2 linked regions of the Lonchura striata genome follow. Each later gene encodes a partner of the first gene's protein in a complex. Links are inferred from orthologs where the notes say so. Each region holds a gene or a part of one and is shown in the gene's direction. Other genes may lie near its edges.

What was found. The genes of interacting proteins can lie anywhere in the genome.
Region 2: PRPF8 (region 1) and PRPF4 share a complex: the UniProt entries of both Homo sapiens proteins name them as parts of the U4/U6-U5 tri-snRNP complex. The link is inferred for Lonchura striata from reciprocal best matches to the Homo sapiens genes PRPF8 and PRPF4.

The regions. Positions count from the first base shown.
Region 1 is NC_134622.1:6,932,169-6,939,521, reverse strand, and holds the start of PRPF8 (pre-mRNA-processing-splicing factor 8), read left to right. Parts: upstream 1-4,326; 5' UTR 4,327-4,396; intron 4,397-4,513; 5' UTR 4,514-4,523; coding exon 4,524-4,623; intron 4,624-4,696; coding exon 4,697-4,865; intron 4,866-5,572; coding exon 5,573-5,737; intron 5,738-5,818; coding exon 5,819-6,037; intron 6,038-6,670; coding exon 6,671-6,883; intron 6,884-6,997; coding exon 6,998-7,123; intron 7,124-7,201; coding exon 7,202-7,307; intron 7,308-7,353. Other genes in the region: TLCD2 (TLC domain-containing protein 2), read left to right, coding at 1,318-1,683. UniProt on the Homo sapiens protein: Plays a role in pre-mRNA splicing as core component of precatalytic, catalytic and postcatalytic spliceosomal complexes, both of the predominant U2-type spliceosome and the minor U12-type spliceosome.
Region 2 is NC_134624.1:4,700,857-4,707,970, forward strand, and holds the start of PRPF4 (U4/U6 small nuclear ribonucleoprotein Prp4), read left to right. Parts: upstream 1-4,092; 5' UTR 4,093-4,260; coding exon 4,261-4,311; intron 4,312-4,939; coding exon 4,940-5,117; intron 5,118-5,398; coding exon 5,399-5,585; intron 5,586-6,126; coding exon 6,127-6,214; intron 6,215-6,937; coding exon 6,938-7,017; intron 7,018-7,114. Other genes in the region: anaphase-promoting complex subunit CDC26, read right to left, coding at 3,144-3,323, 3,390-3,470. UniProt on the Homo sapiens protein: Plays a role in pre-mRNA splicing as component of the U4/U6-U5 tri-snRNP complex that is involved in spliceosome assembly, and as component of the precatalytic spliceosome (spliceosome B complex).

The DNA.
Region 1 (7,353 bases):
TTTCAGTTTGATTTAATTTTCAGCTCTGTTTGTTCTTGCCAAGGCATCCCGATTATCAAATATCTTATGCTAATCATGTCCAAAGTCCATTGCCTGTCTCGTGTGTCCCAATAGAGTAGGAAAAAAACATGTGTACAGAGTGTGGGCTGATCCACAACAGTGTCACTGACAGCAGTGACCCCGCTGTCCCCTCTGGCAAAGGTGAGCAGCTCACCTCCTGTGGCTTTTGCCCTCTTGAGCACCTGCCAGCAAGGGCTGCACACCCCTTCATCCACCTCCCCTGCCCAGGGTGCTTTCCTCCCACCTGGGGCTACTGTGGCTGGAGCAGCTGTGCTGCAGGAGCCCCACTTCAGTGCCCTCTGCCTGTCTTGCTGTGCCCTGTGTGGGTTTCTCTCTGGTCACCTCTGCTGTCCACGTGCCAGAGTGTTTTTCCCAACCGAAACAATTCCGTGGTGCTGAGACTGTGGATGCTGCAGGGCAGGGGGGTGGCACGGCCTGGAGCTGAGCTCCATGAGATGCTGCAGGGTTCAGGGGAGGCTCAGGGGTGTGCAGGGCCTGGGGATGGGGACAGGGACAGTGCTGGCACTCACCTGAGATGAGACTGGGTAGTCAAACCTCTCTGTCAGTGAGCCCTGGGGCTCTGCTGGCTGCTGCTGGTGAGCCAAAAGTTCACCTCCACAATGGAGCTAATTCAAGCCAAGACAGTGATTTAACGAGCCGATAATCTCATTACAGAGCCCATACAGAGAACAGCACTAATGGCATAAACCAAAGAAAGGACTGAGTGTGCTGAAGCGTGGGCAGGCCAGCCTGTCCCCCTGCCTGGCAGGGAGGGTGCGGGGCAGGAATCCTGTCCCAAACAGCCCCAGGGTGCTTCAGGGGGCTCTCTGATACACCAAAGCCACCTAATCCCTGCAGGGTGCCTGTCCTGGGGACAATCCCTGAGCCAGCAGTGGCGTAGCCCTGGGCTACAGTCTCCCTTCCTGTCCGTTCACTGTGTGTGGAAAAACCTGCTGAGCCACAACAACGTTCTCCAGGCCACAACAGCAGGGTTAGGTCAGGCTGCTTTGTCTCCTCAGCCAGCCTGGGGCTTAAAGAGCTGCTTCCTTCTCTTCTCACTGCAACAAAAAAACCCCACTCAGGTTTCATGCAACGGTGAGGGAAGTGCCAGAGGCTGCAATGCTGCAGGGGTGGCCCGTGGTTTGATGATCCTTTCCACCTCAGCTCCTTGCTGTGCCCTAGTGTGGAGGGTTCCAGCTTGCAGCAGCTGAGAGCAACCAGCCCCTGGGCTCAGCCTCTCTTCTCCCTCCTTCCCAGGTGATCATCTGCTTTGGGATTGCCGTGCTGCTCCACCAGTACGTCGGCTTTGCCCTCGTGGCTTTACTGGTGGAGATCAACTCCATCTTCCTCCACCTGCGGCAGATCATGCTCATGGCCAACCTGGTGCACACCACCTGCTACCGCCTCAACAGCCTCATCAACTTGGGCACCTACGTGGTGTTCCGCATCGCCACGCTGGCCTGGATGAGCCGCTGGCTCTTCCTCAACCGGCAGAACGTGCCCCCGGCCACCTACGCCGTGGGCACGGTGGGCATGGCAATCATGACGCCCATGAACGTCATCCTCTTCTACCGCCTGCTGCGGAGTGACTTCCTCAAATCCAGGAGGGAGAAGGAGGAATAGGCCCTCCCCTGAGAAGGGGCACTTCCAAACCCGTGGAAGCACGTGGAGGGTGAATGTTTTGGTACCTCGCAGGGAGGGGCTGCACTAACAGAGCATCCAGGCTTTGCTTGTGGCTCAAGAGCCTGGGCCCTGCACAGCAGAGGAGGTGCTCGTGGACCAGGCACGGTGGCTCTGCTCCCCAGACGCTTTTGGATGATGTGGTTGGACAAGCGGGAGCTGCTGAGAGAAGCCTCGACAGCTCTCACAGCTCCCTGAGGCACCACTGAGATGAGACGGGGGCAGAGCAGCACTGTTTCCCCACTGCTCTTCCAGACATCCCAACACCACCGAGTGTTTCCAACCCCTTTGGTGCTGCAGCGTCCCATCAGCCACGGGACACTGAGTTCTCCGTGCCATCTCCTGTGGGAACACCACCAGCAAGACAGGTTCCAAGGCTTTGCCTTCAAGGTGATGGTCAGTAAAAAACAAACCTTGCACTGATGAGCCCTCCCTGAGGAGATTTCCCAGGCTGAGACCTGGCTGGGTGGCAGCTGCCCACTGTGGGGGCAGCCCCAACCTCTCCTGGCAACTGGAGCTTTTCCATCATGTTTTGTCCCCAGATAATTCAAGTGCCCATAAATGAGCGTGGGAGAGCACGAGTGGCTGGAAGGAGGATGCTGTGTGATGGTCACTTCTCACACATGAGGGGTTTTCAGGCACTTTTTAAGATTCAGGCATCTGTTAGGAGTGCCAAGTTGTGCTGCAGAGCCCGGGGTAATGCTCTCACTTGACAGCAAAGGCTCTTACTAACATGAGCTTTTAATAAATGGCTGCAAATGAAGTGGCTTGAGGGGAAAGGACTGAGAGGGGACACGAGGACTCATCATCCCAGCCCAATCTGGGGGTGTCACTGCTTAGCCCAGTCCTTACCCCCAGTCTCCCTGCCATGGAGTGAAAATACACTGTACACTGGCACACTCTACCTCTCTTGTTGGGTTTTTTCCCCACCCCTCTCCTTTCTGTGGAGGAAAATGAAGGTTTTTAAACATTCTTCCACTCCACATTTCCTCACTGATTCTCACACTGGACTGTTCCCCAGCAGCCCAGCACTGTGTATATAACAGGATCATCCTACTTGGAGTTAAGGTGAAGCAGTCTGGAGAAATCCACCGGCTCAGTCACCTTTTCTTTTGTGTGGCGGATAAGCTTTAACACAAAATCTCTCCCTTGGTTTGAAGACCCTGGGGACAGGCTGGAGCAAGGCACTGCTCGGAGAGGGTGGCACATGTTTTGAGGACAGAGACAGGGAAAGATGAGGGATCCATGGGCAGTGTGAGGCTGGAGGCTAAAGCCGCTTACGTTTCTATTTGTGGAGGGCAGGGAAGCTTCCAGGTGCTGGGCACAATTACTCCAGGTTTGGGTACGTAACCTCAAGCAGTGCTGAGGCACCTGTGTGCCACTCACAGCTCCCAGCTGGAGCAAAACTGTCACCCAAGGCTTTCTCTTTGCTTTGACCCACGTATTCCGAATTTTCCAGGAGCTGCTGCACAGGTAACAACGCTGCCTCTGCTCTCCAGCCCACAGTCGGGAGGCTTCTCAAGGCCTGGATTGTGTTCCCACATTCCTGCCGTCACATGGATGTGGGGCTGGGGGCCAGGGCAGCCTGGTTTGGGCACCTCTTAATCCACCGTGGTTTTCCCACAGGGCTAAGGGGGAAAAAGCAGCGGCTTTGCAGGTCACCCAGGTCGGACGTGGGGATGCCCTGTGCCTGCCCATCCCGATGGGAAGTGCCAGAGCTTCGCTTTGAAAGGTTTTGGGAAGGACTCACCACTCTGTTCCCACCGTATAGGGGTGGGAATACCACCACCACGGGGTTAGAAGGAGCATCTCCATCAGGGAATTAATTGCTGGGGAGTAACACCCCGGCTTGCCACCCAATCACCCCCCGAACAAACCCCTCTCCCCATGGGAGCTTCCACCCTGGCAAAACCCTGAGGCAAGAGCTCGCCTGGCTGCTGAGGGGCCCTGAGAACACATTGAACCCACCCACAGTGAGCTGCTGGGCAAACACTGAGGGTCGGGGGCCATCTGTGTTCCTGTGGAGAGGCAGGAAGGGGACAACGAGTGGGTGGCTGCTTGCTGGGGCCATGGTGTAGCCATGGGGGCAGTGCATCACTGGGGAGCGGCATCCCCCTGCCTGCCTGGGGCACGGGGGCGTGACTGAGACGGGCTCAGCCGAACTGAGGGGATGTCCAGGCCCCGTGGGGGATGTCCCCACGCAGCTCCACCGCGGACATCACCGGGATGTGTCCGAAATGTCCAAAATGTCGCCCTGAGGGCGCCCCCCGCCCCTACCATCACTGGCGGGGGGGGGGCACGACCCGGCCAGGGGCGCCCCCTAAAGCAGCGCGGAGTGAGCTACGCCAGGCGCTGTCCAATCAGAGGCGCTGCCGCGCTGTCTCCGCCAATCGGAAGCAGCGAAGGGCGGGACCGGGGAAAGCGGGACACCACAACGGAAATGTGCGCCAGACACCGCTTGCTCCCCTCTTCCGCCCTCAGTGCCTCCCCCGCCGCTCCGCGCTCTGATAGGATAAACCTGCTGTCTGTCAGATCTCCTAAAAATTGACTGGCTGTTCCGCGCCGCGAGTCCCGCCCACATCCGGGTCTCGCAGGCGCGGTGGCGGCGGCGCGGGGCCGCCATTGTGGTGGGGGAGCGCGGGGGTCGCGGCTGCCGGTGAGGGCAGCGGAGCGGCGGGCCCGGGGTGCGCGGGAGCGGCGGGGGAGCGACCGGCGGCGGCCCCGTCGTGGTCCCGTACCTCGCACTGAGCCCCTCTCCATCTTCTCTGCGCAGTTGCGTCGCCATGGCCGCCGTGTTCCCGTACCGCGGCGGCTGCGCCCCGGTGCCCAACCCGCTGGCGCCGCTGCCCGACTACATGTCCGAGGAGAAGCTGCAGGAGAAAGGTGGGTACGGCCCCGGCGGCCCAGAGCCTCCGCGGGGGACAGGGCCTGAGCCGCCGCCTCTGTGTCCCCGCAGCCCGCAAGTGGCAGCAGCTGCAGGCCAAGCGCTACGCGGAGAAGAGGAAATTCGGCTTCGTGGATGCGCAGAAGGAGGACATGCCCCCCGAGCATGTCCGCAAAATCATCCGCGACCACGGCGACATGACCAATAGGAAGTTCCGTCACGACAAGCGAGTCTACCTGGGGTAAGGGACCCCCGGTGTGGGGCACAGGGGGATCTGCTGCTGCCCTGGAGGGAGAGATCCTTCTCCAAAAGGCTTTTTGTGAACATTGTAACTCAGTGAGGATGCCCTGAGGTGTCAGTGCAGAAGAGGATCAGCAAAAGGAGTTGTTGCCTTGAGTTTATGAGAAAAAACATTAGCCTGGATAATGCATCATTGAAGGGGAAGCCCCTTCTCCAAAAGGCTTTTCAGCTTTTCAGTTGTAGCTCAATCTGTTGCTGTGAGGTATCAGTGCAAAGGAGCGTCAGCAAAGGGAATTGTTGCTCTGAATTTATGAGAAAAAACATGACCCTGCATAACTGAGTGTCTTAGAAGGAGTTGGGGAGAGTGTGGAATGTTTTTTTAAAGATTAAAAAGCATCCTGAGTGCTGTTTGGGGGTAGAGAGCTGTCTAGTGCACATCATGGTCTGCTGCAATAAGTTACAATTACCTAAAAAACTCTATGAACTAACTTAAAAACTTCAGTTTCTGTTAGCAACATTCTTGAAAGCCAAATCACTAAAAAACCTTTTGATAATCCAAAGGTAGAGTGGGAGATCCATGGATTTGCTTTTTGAACAGGTCAGATGAGCAGTTCCTAGGGAAAACTGGGAGGTTGTTGGGCTCGTGGCAGGTGGTTGGCTGTCCTTGAGAGCCACTCCAGCGTGGTTTTCCCTGGTTTGTGGTTGCAGTGCTCTGAAGTACATGCCCCATGCTGTACTGAAGCTCCTGGAGAACATGCCCATGCCCTGGGAGCAGATCCGGGACGTTCCCGTCCTGTACCACATCACGGGCGCCATCTCCTTTGTCAACGAGATCCCCTGGGTCATCGAACCTGTCTACATTGCCCAGTGGGGGTAGGTGCCTTCTGCTTCTTTCACCTTTTTGCACCCACCATAAAATCCCCCTGCTTTTAACCTACCCCTGATTTCCTGCAGCTCCATGTGGATTATGATGAGGCGGGAGAAGAGGGACAGGCGCCACTTCAAGAGGATGAGATTCCCCCCGTTTGACGATGAAGAACCCCCTCTGGATTATGCTGATAACATCCTGGATGTGGAGCCCCTGGAAGCCATTCAGCTGGAGCTGGATCCAGAGGAGGATGCCCCTGTGCTGGACTGGTTCTATGACCACCAGCCTCTGAAGGACAACAGGAAGTAAGTGGCTGTGGAGGGGGAGAAAAACAAAAAACAAACAGTGCATGAATGACGTGCACAGAGCAGTGTGTAACCTTTGTGTGATGTTGGTGAGGAGAGAAAAACCTTCCCTCAAGGATGGGAGGGAAAAGCTGAGTGTTGGAAAGCTGCATCTTTTGCCTGCAGGTTGCTCAGAAGTCCAAAGCCAGGTTGGGTGGGGCTCCGAGCAGCCTGGGATGGTGGAAGGCTTGGAAAAAGATGAGGTTTAAGGTTCCTTCCAAGCAAAACCAAATCCATTCTGGGATTCTATGGTTCAGGATCCAGCAAGGCTCCTCTATCCAGGAGGCCTGTTACCCACTTACTTCCTAAAACTGGTGTTTCTGACCATGTTGTAAAGCTGACAGCCTGCATTGTGTAGCTGGAATTTGGAATTTGCTAAAGGTGCCCAGATGTTCTGTGTCACTTGAGACACAGGAGAAGAGGAACTGGAGCAGCCAGCATTTTCTGGGCAGGAGGAGTCTAGAGTGGTCTTTAATAGTGCTGCAGCCTTTTTTTCAGGCTAGAGACACGCAGATATCTGTTCTTGATGAAGGATGGGTGGCAGAAGGTGTTTGGTTATTCTGTGTGTGGAGTGTCCATGCTCTGCTTTCCCAGGTACGTCAACGGCTCCACGTACCAGCGCTGGCAGTTCACCCTCCCCATGATGTCCACACTGTACCGCCTGGCCAACCAGCTGCTCACTGACCTGGTGGATGACAACTACTTCTACCTGTTTGACCTGAAAGCCTTCTTCACCTCCAAGGCACTGAACATGGCCATTCCTGGAGGTCCCAAGTTTGAGCCCCTCGTCAGGGACATCAATCTTCAGTAAGTGTTGGTTTTGGGAGAGAGATGAGTGGTTGTCTAGGAGAGGGCTGATGGGGTGTTTTCTGTCTCTCTCACCCTGAATGCCTGCATAACAGTTTCTTGTCTCGTTTTAAGGGATGAAGACTGGAATGAATTTAATGACATCAACAAAATCATCATCAGGCAGCCTATCAGGACAGAGTACAAAATTGCTTTCCCCTACCTGTACAACAACCTGCCCCACCATGTCCACCTCACCTGGTAAGAGCAGCAGCCTCCAGAGCCAGGAGAGGAGGGAAAGGCTGTCAGAGGTTCTAATGCATATTTATTTTTTTGCAGGTATCATACTCCAAATGTTGTTTTCATTAAAACAGAAGATCCTGACCTCCCAGCTTTTTACTTTGATCCTCTGATCAACCCCATTTCACACAGACATTCTGTCAAGGTGAGTCACTGGGTTAACTGTGATAAACCCTATGAGTGGAAGTAGG
Region 2 (7,114 bases), on another chromosome or scaffold:
AGCCGTGTCCTGCTGAGAGACAGGAAAAGTGCTTCCTTCCTTCCCCAGTCTGATCTTTGAAGGGAGTTCTGTCTGTGACAGAACCTGCTGGTGCCCTTTCTGCACCTGTCACAAAGGTAAAACTCTGCTGTGCCTGCAGGCAATCATGGGAGGGGACAGCTGACCCTCCCCACCCCTGGAGAGCTGGGAGGATGTTAGTGTGGGCAGAGAAAATGAACAATCCCTTCCCACTCCTGCTGGAACTGAGAGGAAATCTGTCTGTCAGAGAGAACTAGAGCTGTTAAAAGCTGGAGATGGTGTTGATGTGGGAGGTTGGCACTGCAGGGCTTGACCCCTGCAGGAGCTCAGGGTGACACTGCCACTGCTGCCATTGGTTTTTCTGGAAGGGGGTGGAATTGTTGCCATCACAATCACAGGCTGGAGTGAGGAGCGGCTCTGTGGTGACACTGGTCACCTCATATACCTCTTGCTGTGTCTTTCTTTGGAACAGAAGCTGCTTGGCCTGATCTTGCTGTCACCTTTTAGCCACTTTTCTGTGTATCCAAGTGGCCAGACTTGAATTCTCTGGGGATGACTTGGAGATCAGGCTGTGGCTCATGCAGTGTCACTCTGGTTCTTGTTAAGCTTTTCTGTCTCATTCTGCTTGTACCACTTGTGCCCCTGGAATTGTTTCCCCCCAGAATGAGCTTCCCTTCTGCTCAGAGAGGGCACACAGCTTCTCCAGCGTGCACAGGGAGGGGACACTGCCCTGGCAGGGCTCACCTGGGCACGAGTCTCAGGTGCCCCAGCAGCTCCCACAGCCTGCACGAGGGGTGGTGAGGGCACCCTGGGCTCCCAGGGAAGGTGAGAGGGGAAGTGGCTGAGAGGAGCAGGCGAGGCCGTGTCCCCTGTGCTCCGAGCTCCTGGGGCACCGCTGGGGACGAGGCGTGTCCAGGCTGCTCCTCCTGCCGCGGCTGTGCAGTTCAGATTGTCCCCAGTTCAGTGTGACAGTCCAGAGCAGCCATCGACCGTCCCTGTCGCAGCGTCCCGCTGCCACCAGATGCCAGCACGGTGTGCTCCCAGCCGGGCTGTGCGTGCAGAGCCGGAGCAAAGCCTGAGCTCCCTGCGGGCGGGATCGGCAGCTCTGGGCAGCCCCAGCCCCGCTGCTGAATTTAGAGGTGTCCGGGTCGCACGGTGGGGGAGGGCTCGCAGGGCCGGTGTGGACAGACATGGACAGACATGCAGCATGCTGGGCTGTGCTGCCCTGCTCGGGGTGACATCCTGTGCCTGGCTCTGTGCCCCGTTTGCTCTGCACACGCTGAGCCTCCACATTCTCATCCACGAGGGAGCTCGGAGCATCCAGGCCCTGTCCCTCCGAGGGCTTTTGTTGCTTTTCTTTGAGTGCCTTTTGAGTTTGTCTGGAGCCAGTCCCACCACCCAGCAGGATTTCTAGTTTTGTTTACAGTGGACTGTCAGTTCTGTTTTTACTCTTGCTTTTTGTGGTGGTAACTTGTCTGATGTTACTGTGAATATCAAGAATCTCCTGTACATAATTAACCAATAAAATAGATGGCATTTTACTGTGCTGGGGGTGTGTTTTGGGAACGGTCTCAGGGCAGCCCTTGGAGGGAGCACAGGGCCCAGTGTTCCTGTTCAGGTGCTGTGGGGAGTGAGGAGCAGCATCCTCTGAGCCTCCCCAGCTCCCAGGAACTTGTCCTGAAGCTGCTGGAATGGGGTTCACTGAGAAGTCTTTGTTCCAGCTCAGTCGCACTTTGCAGGTGTGGGGAGGGATGGAAAGAGAAACTGGTGCCTCCCAGATCTGCCTGCCCTGGAGAAGAGTTTCAGGGAGATGTAAGAACCTCCTGAGGTGTTGTCCTCTCACAGCTGGGGCCTCTTGGGAATGCCAGCACAGCAGAGCAAGCCCTGATCATTGTTTGTGGTGTTAGACAGGAAAAGCAGCTCTTTTCTAGGCTGCTCTGGGGCTCTTCCCAGTTGGAAAAGTTTGAAGTTCTGTACATTTTCCCAGCCTGACCTGAAATTTGACGCACCTACAACACGGGAAGCGTGAATTTAACTGGAGTCCACTTTGGAGGAATGCTGAAAAACCAGACCTGGTCATTTTGCTGAAGATGGCAGGACACAGCCCTGGGCAGAGGCAGGGAGAGCCTCCAGCTCCTGCATTCCCTGCTGTGGCAGCCTGCCCTGCTCCTTCCCCAGGCTGCAGAGAGCAGTTTCCTGAGCACCAAGGAGCTGCTCAGGTTTTTATGTTGCTTCCTTCAGCTCACCCCACTGTGTGACTCCTGTCAAGTGTCCTCCACTGTCAGACTCCTCCTGAGTCTGACACCTTCCTCTCACTAAATCAGATCTGACCTCACCCTGCCCAGGCCCCTGCTGAGGAAATCCATGTGCCCTTGGCCTTTTCACAGAACACCACCAGCCATAAGGAACTGTTTGGTGGCCTTTGATCCAAGCAGCAAACAGCTCTGAGCTCCATTCCAAGGGCAGCTGGGGTGGCACCAAGCAGAGCTGGATGGAGGTGGAACAGGGAGGTGCAAAGGAAAAGCTGCTCAAACAGAAAATCTGGGCTATCATCCCACATCCATGTGCCCAGCCCACGGCAGGTCTGCAGCCACTCCCTGCTGAGGGCCCAGCTGTGACATGGATGGGGAAGCAGCTCTGGGATGCATTTGGGACCAGCTGATTGAACAGACCGGGAATTCTTTCCTGGTTCCCTCGAGAATGGACAGAGCAGTGCCTGGCACCCACAACTGTGGCACCTTTATCCCAAAACACTCATCAGACACCTCCAGGACCTTCTCCTCAGTGGGCCACCAGCGGGCAGGGCTGGAGGCTGAGGTGGCCACACTCCATTGTCTGGTTTAGATCAGCAGATCACTTTCCCGGAGGATCCTCCCGCAGAGTTTCATCCTCCTGCCCACAGGAGCAGGGAACGGGGTGCTCGAGCTGTTCCACCCCACCTGGGCACTGCAGCCCTTTACAGCAGCTCGTGGGATGATTATTCGTTTCTTTAAAAAAATACGTGTTTATTTAAAACAAAACACTCGGCAAGGGAGCGATCACGGCCATGTTAACCAAACATAAAATGCGAAAATGCAACAGCTCAGAGGGGGGCGGCGCGGCCCAGCGGGGCCGGGGCTGCCCCGTCAGAACTCGAAGGTGCCGAAGTGCGCGGCGCGGCCGCCGGCCTTGGGCTGCGGCTTGTACCCGATGCGCTCGTTGATGAGCTGCTCGCGGCTCTTGTGCTCCGTGCCCAGCGCTCCGATCGCCGCCGCCTCCTCGCCGCCCGCCGCCGCCTCCGCCTCGTCCCGCTGCTTCCTGCGGCTCTGCGGGCGAACGGCCGGTCAGGGCCGGGGGCGGGCCCAGCCCCCCGCGCCCGGCCCCGCGCGCACCTCCAGCTCCTTCCGCACGCTCTCGAACTCCTCGATGTCGTCCAGCTTCAGCTCCAGCCGCGTCGGCTTCCGACGGAGCATCGCGGCCAGAGGCGCCGCCACCCGCGGCGGCACCGAGCGCTCCGCCCTCAGCGGGCCGCCCGCCACAGCTCCCGGCGTGCCCCGCGCGGCCCGCCCTCAGCGGACACTTCATCTCCCGGCGTGCCCCGCGCGGCCCGCCCTCAGCGGGCACCGCCTCTCCCGGCGTGCCCCGCGCGGCCCGCCCTCAGCGGGCACCTCATCTCCCGGCGTGCCCCGCGCGGCCCGCCCTCAGCGGACACTTCATCTCCCGGCGTGCCCCGCGCGGCCCGCCCTCAGCGGGCACCGCCTCTCCCGGCGTGCCCCGCGCGGCCCGCCCTCAGCGGGCACCTCATCTCCCGGCGTGCCCCGCGCGGCCCGCCCTCAGCGGGCACCGCCTCTCCCGGCGTGCCCCGCGCGGCCCGCCCTCAGCGGGCACCGCGCCTCCCGGCGTGCCCCGCGCGGCCCGCCCTCAGCGGGCCGCCCGCCACAGCTCCCGGCGTGCCCCGCGCGGCCCGCCCTCAGCGGGCACCGCGCCTCCCGGCGTGCCCCGCGCGGCCCGCCCTCAGCGGGCCGCCCGCCACAGCTCCCGGCGTGCCCCGCGCGGCCCGCCCTCAGCGGGCGCCGCGCCTCCCGGCGTGCCCCGCGCGGCCCGCCCTCAGCGGGCGCCGCGCCTCCCGGCGTGCCCCGCGCGGCCCGGAAGTGGCCGTGAGGCGCTGGAGCCCGGCGCGGCGGGTCTCTCCCCGTTCCCTTCTCTGGTTCCCGCTCCCCTTCCGGGCTCTTTTCCGTTCCTGGGCTTGTTCCCGCTCCCGCCATGGCCGCCGCGCGGGCTCCGGCGGCGCGCGGTGCGGCCCGGCCCCCCGAGGTGAGTGTGCGGAGATGGGGGCGGCCCCGGGCCTGTTCCCCGCGCGGCCGCGGCGCCGGCGGTCGCGCCTGCTGCTGCTGTGTGGGATTTGCGGTGCTCCGGTGACACCGGAGCCGTTCAGGGGAGCCCAGGGCTCGGTGCTCTGCGTTCTCACCCGGTCCTGGCGCCTCCCCTGAGGAGCCGCTCGCTTTGGGCTGGGGCGCGGCACCGCTCCGGGCTGTGCCGGTGCAGGAGGACGAACAGCTCCGTGTTCCAAAGCTTTTCAAAACATACCTCTGCAGATAATAAATAAGAGGCACCCAACGCTGCCTGATGGCAGCATTTCAACGCGGCATTTTGCTCTTGTGCTTCGGCCTTCGGGCAAAAACCTCAAAGTCCGGCGGCTGCTCCGGCCCTGGCGGTGCCCAGGCCAGGCTGGACGGGGCTGGAGCAGCCTGGGGCCGTGAAGGTGTCCCTGGCACGGCAGGGTGGGATGGATGGGCTTCAGTTGCCTCCATCCCCAGCCGGCGTGGCACCGAGAGGCTGTATGTGTGCACAGTGCCCGTTCTCCTGGCACAGCCGGCTCTGGCACAGCCAGGCTGTTAGCTGCCCCCTGTCCCAACCCCTGCTCCTCTGGCTCTCCCTGCAGCCCCCCAAGGCCAAGCCCCCCGAGGAGGCCGAGGCTGCCCCGGCCAAGCGGGCGCCCATCTTCTACGGGAGCCTGGAGGAGAAGGAGCGGGAGCGCCTGGCCAAGGGCGAGGCGGGGCTGCTGGCCAAGGAGGCCATGAAGGCTGCCATGGAGGCTGGCAACATCAACATCAGCAGCGGTGAGGCTCTGCAGACACCCCTCGTCATCCCTGCCCGCAGAGGTGGCACTTGAAATGCCTCTGCTGGCTCTCTGGGCATCGCCTCACAGCAGTCAGGGTGGGAGGCTCCGTGCTTGGATCTCTCCAGGGGCTGAGGGAGGGGTGCAGCGTCCTTCTCTGGGGACATGCCACACCCTGCTGTGTCACCTGCTGCGGGTGGCCCCGCTGCGGGTGATGTGCAGAGCTCCCCGGCTGGCCCTGGCCGTGCTGCTGCGTGTGCTCAGGCTGTGTGTGTGTGCCAGGGGAGGTGTTTGACCTGGAGGACCACATGAGCGAGCGGCAGGCCGAGGTGCTGGCGGAGTTCGAGCGCCGCAAGCGCGCCCGGCAGATCAACGTGTCCACGGACGACTGCGAGGTCAAGGCCTGCCTGCGGGCCCTGGGCGAGCCCATCACGCTCTTCGGAGAGGGCCCCGCGGAGCGCAGGGAGAGGTGCTGTGTCTGCAGGGATGGCCACCCTGCAAATCCCTGAGCCCCTCCTGCCGTGCCACTGCTGTGCCACAGGGCAGCTGGCAGAGCTGGGGGTGTTCAGGCTGGGGAAGGGAAGGCTCCAGAGCCTGCCAGGGCATCAAGGGGCTCCAGGAGAGCTGGAGAGGGATTGGGGACAAGGGATGGAGGGACAGGACACAGGGAATGGCTCCCACTGCCAGAGGGCAGGGATGGATGGGATGTTGGGAATTGGGAATTGTTCCCTGGCAGGGTGGGCAGGCCCTGGCACAGGGTGCCCAGAGAAGCTGTGGCTGCCCCTGGATCCCTGGCAGTGCCCAAGGCCAGGTTGGATGGGGCTGAGAGCAGCCTGGGACAGTGGGAGGTGTCCCTGCCATGGCACTGGATGAGCTTTAAGGTCCCTCCCAGCCCAAACCAGTCTGGGATTTCTCTTGTAAGAACCCTAAGGCAGAAGGAATGTCACAGTGATGTTTGTCAGGTGAGCTGAGAATCCACTGGCTAAATCCAGCTTCATGACTCCTTCCAGGTTAAGGAACATCCTCTCAGTGGTCGGCACAGACGCGTTAAAAAAGACCCGGAAAGATGATGACAGGTCCAAAAAGTCCAAAGAAGAGGTAAGGGTGTCTCCTGTCCCCTGACAGAAGGGAGGGATGTTATATCCATCTCTGATATATCCTGCACTCCTGGCTTTGGCCAGCCTGGGAATTCTCATGGTATCCCTTCAGGCTTTTTCCATGTTGCCCATTACACCAAATCCATGGCAATGGTTGGTCTCAGTGAGGAGCACCAAGTGTGGGTTTTACTCAGACTCTGCTCTGTGCTGCATTCACTGTGCAAACCAGGAGAGCAGTGTGTGGGCTCTTACCTACTGTAGCAAGTCCCTTACTTTCCTTCACACTTGGGAAGAAAAAAAAAATGTTCCTTCTGCTGCATCTGTTTCTGCCTTTGATTGCTCTTTCTGCTTGTGTCTCCTGAGTCTCTTTTACCTTATTATTTTTGAGCTTTACTGTAAGAAATAATTTCTGCAGCTCTGGGCTTTCTCTTTAGTGGGTGATGTGTAAACAAGGAGGGAGTTACATGTCTGTAAATGCAGATGGGTCAGGGTTCAGCTGGAACATTGAGAGAAGTGGCAGCATGGCAGGATTGGATCTGTAGGGCAGAGAGTTTGATTTATCTCTCCAAATCCCTTTTCCTGGGGCTCAGTTGTGTAGAAGGCCCTTAAAAAGAGGCCAGAGCACAGCAGGGTTTGGGGGCAGGTGCTGGGAGGAGCTGAAGGGAATGAATGCAGGGGCAGCAGCACCAGGGCTTTTCCATTCCTTTTATTCCTGTTTTTACAGTATCAGCAAACGTGGTACCACGAGGGCCCTCGCAGTCTGAAAACAGCCAGGCTGTGGCTGGCCAACTACTCACTCCCCAGGTGAGAGAAAACAGAAAACATTTGTCAAATCCAAGTGCAAATCCCACTGTGGGCAGCACGGGAAATCCAGGGAGTAGGGAGGGAGGTCCAGTGAGCC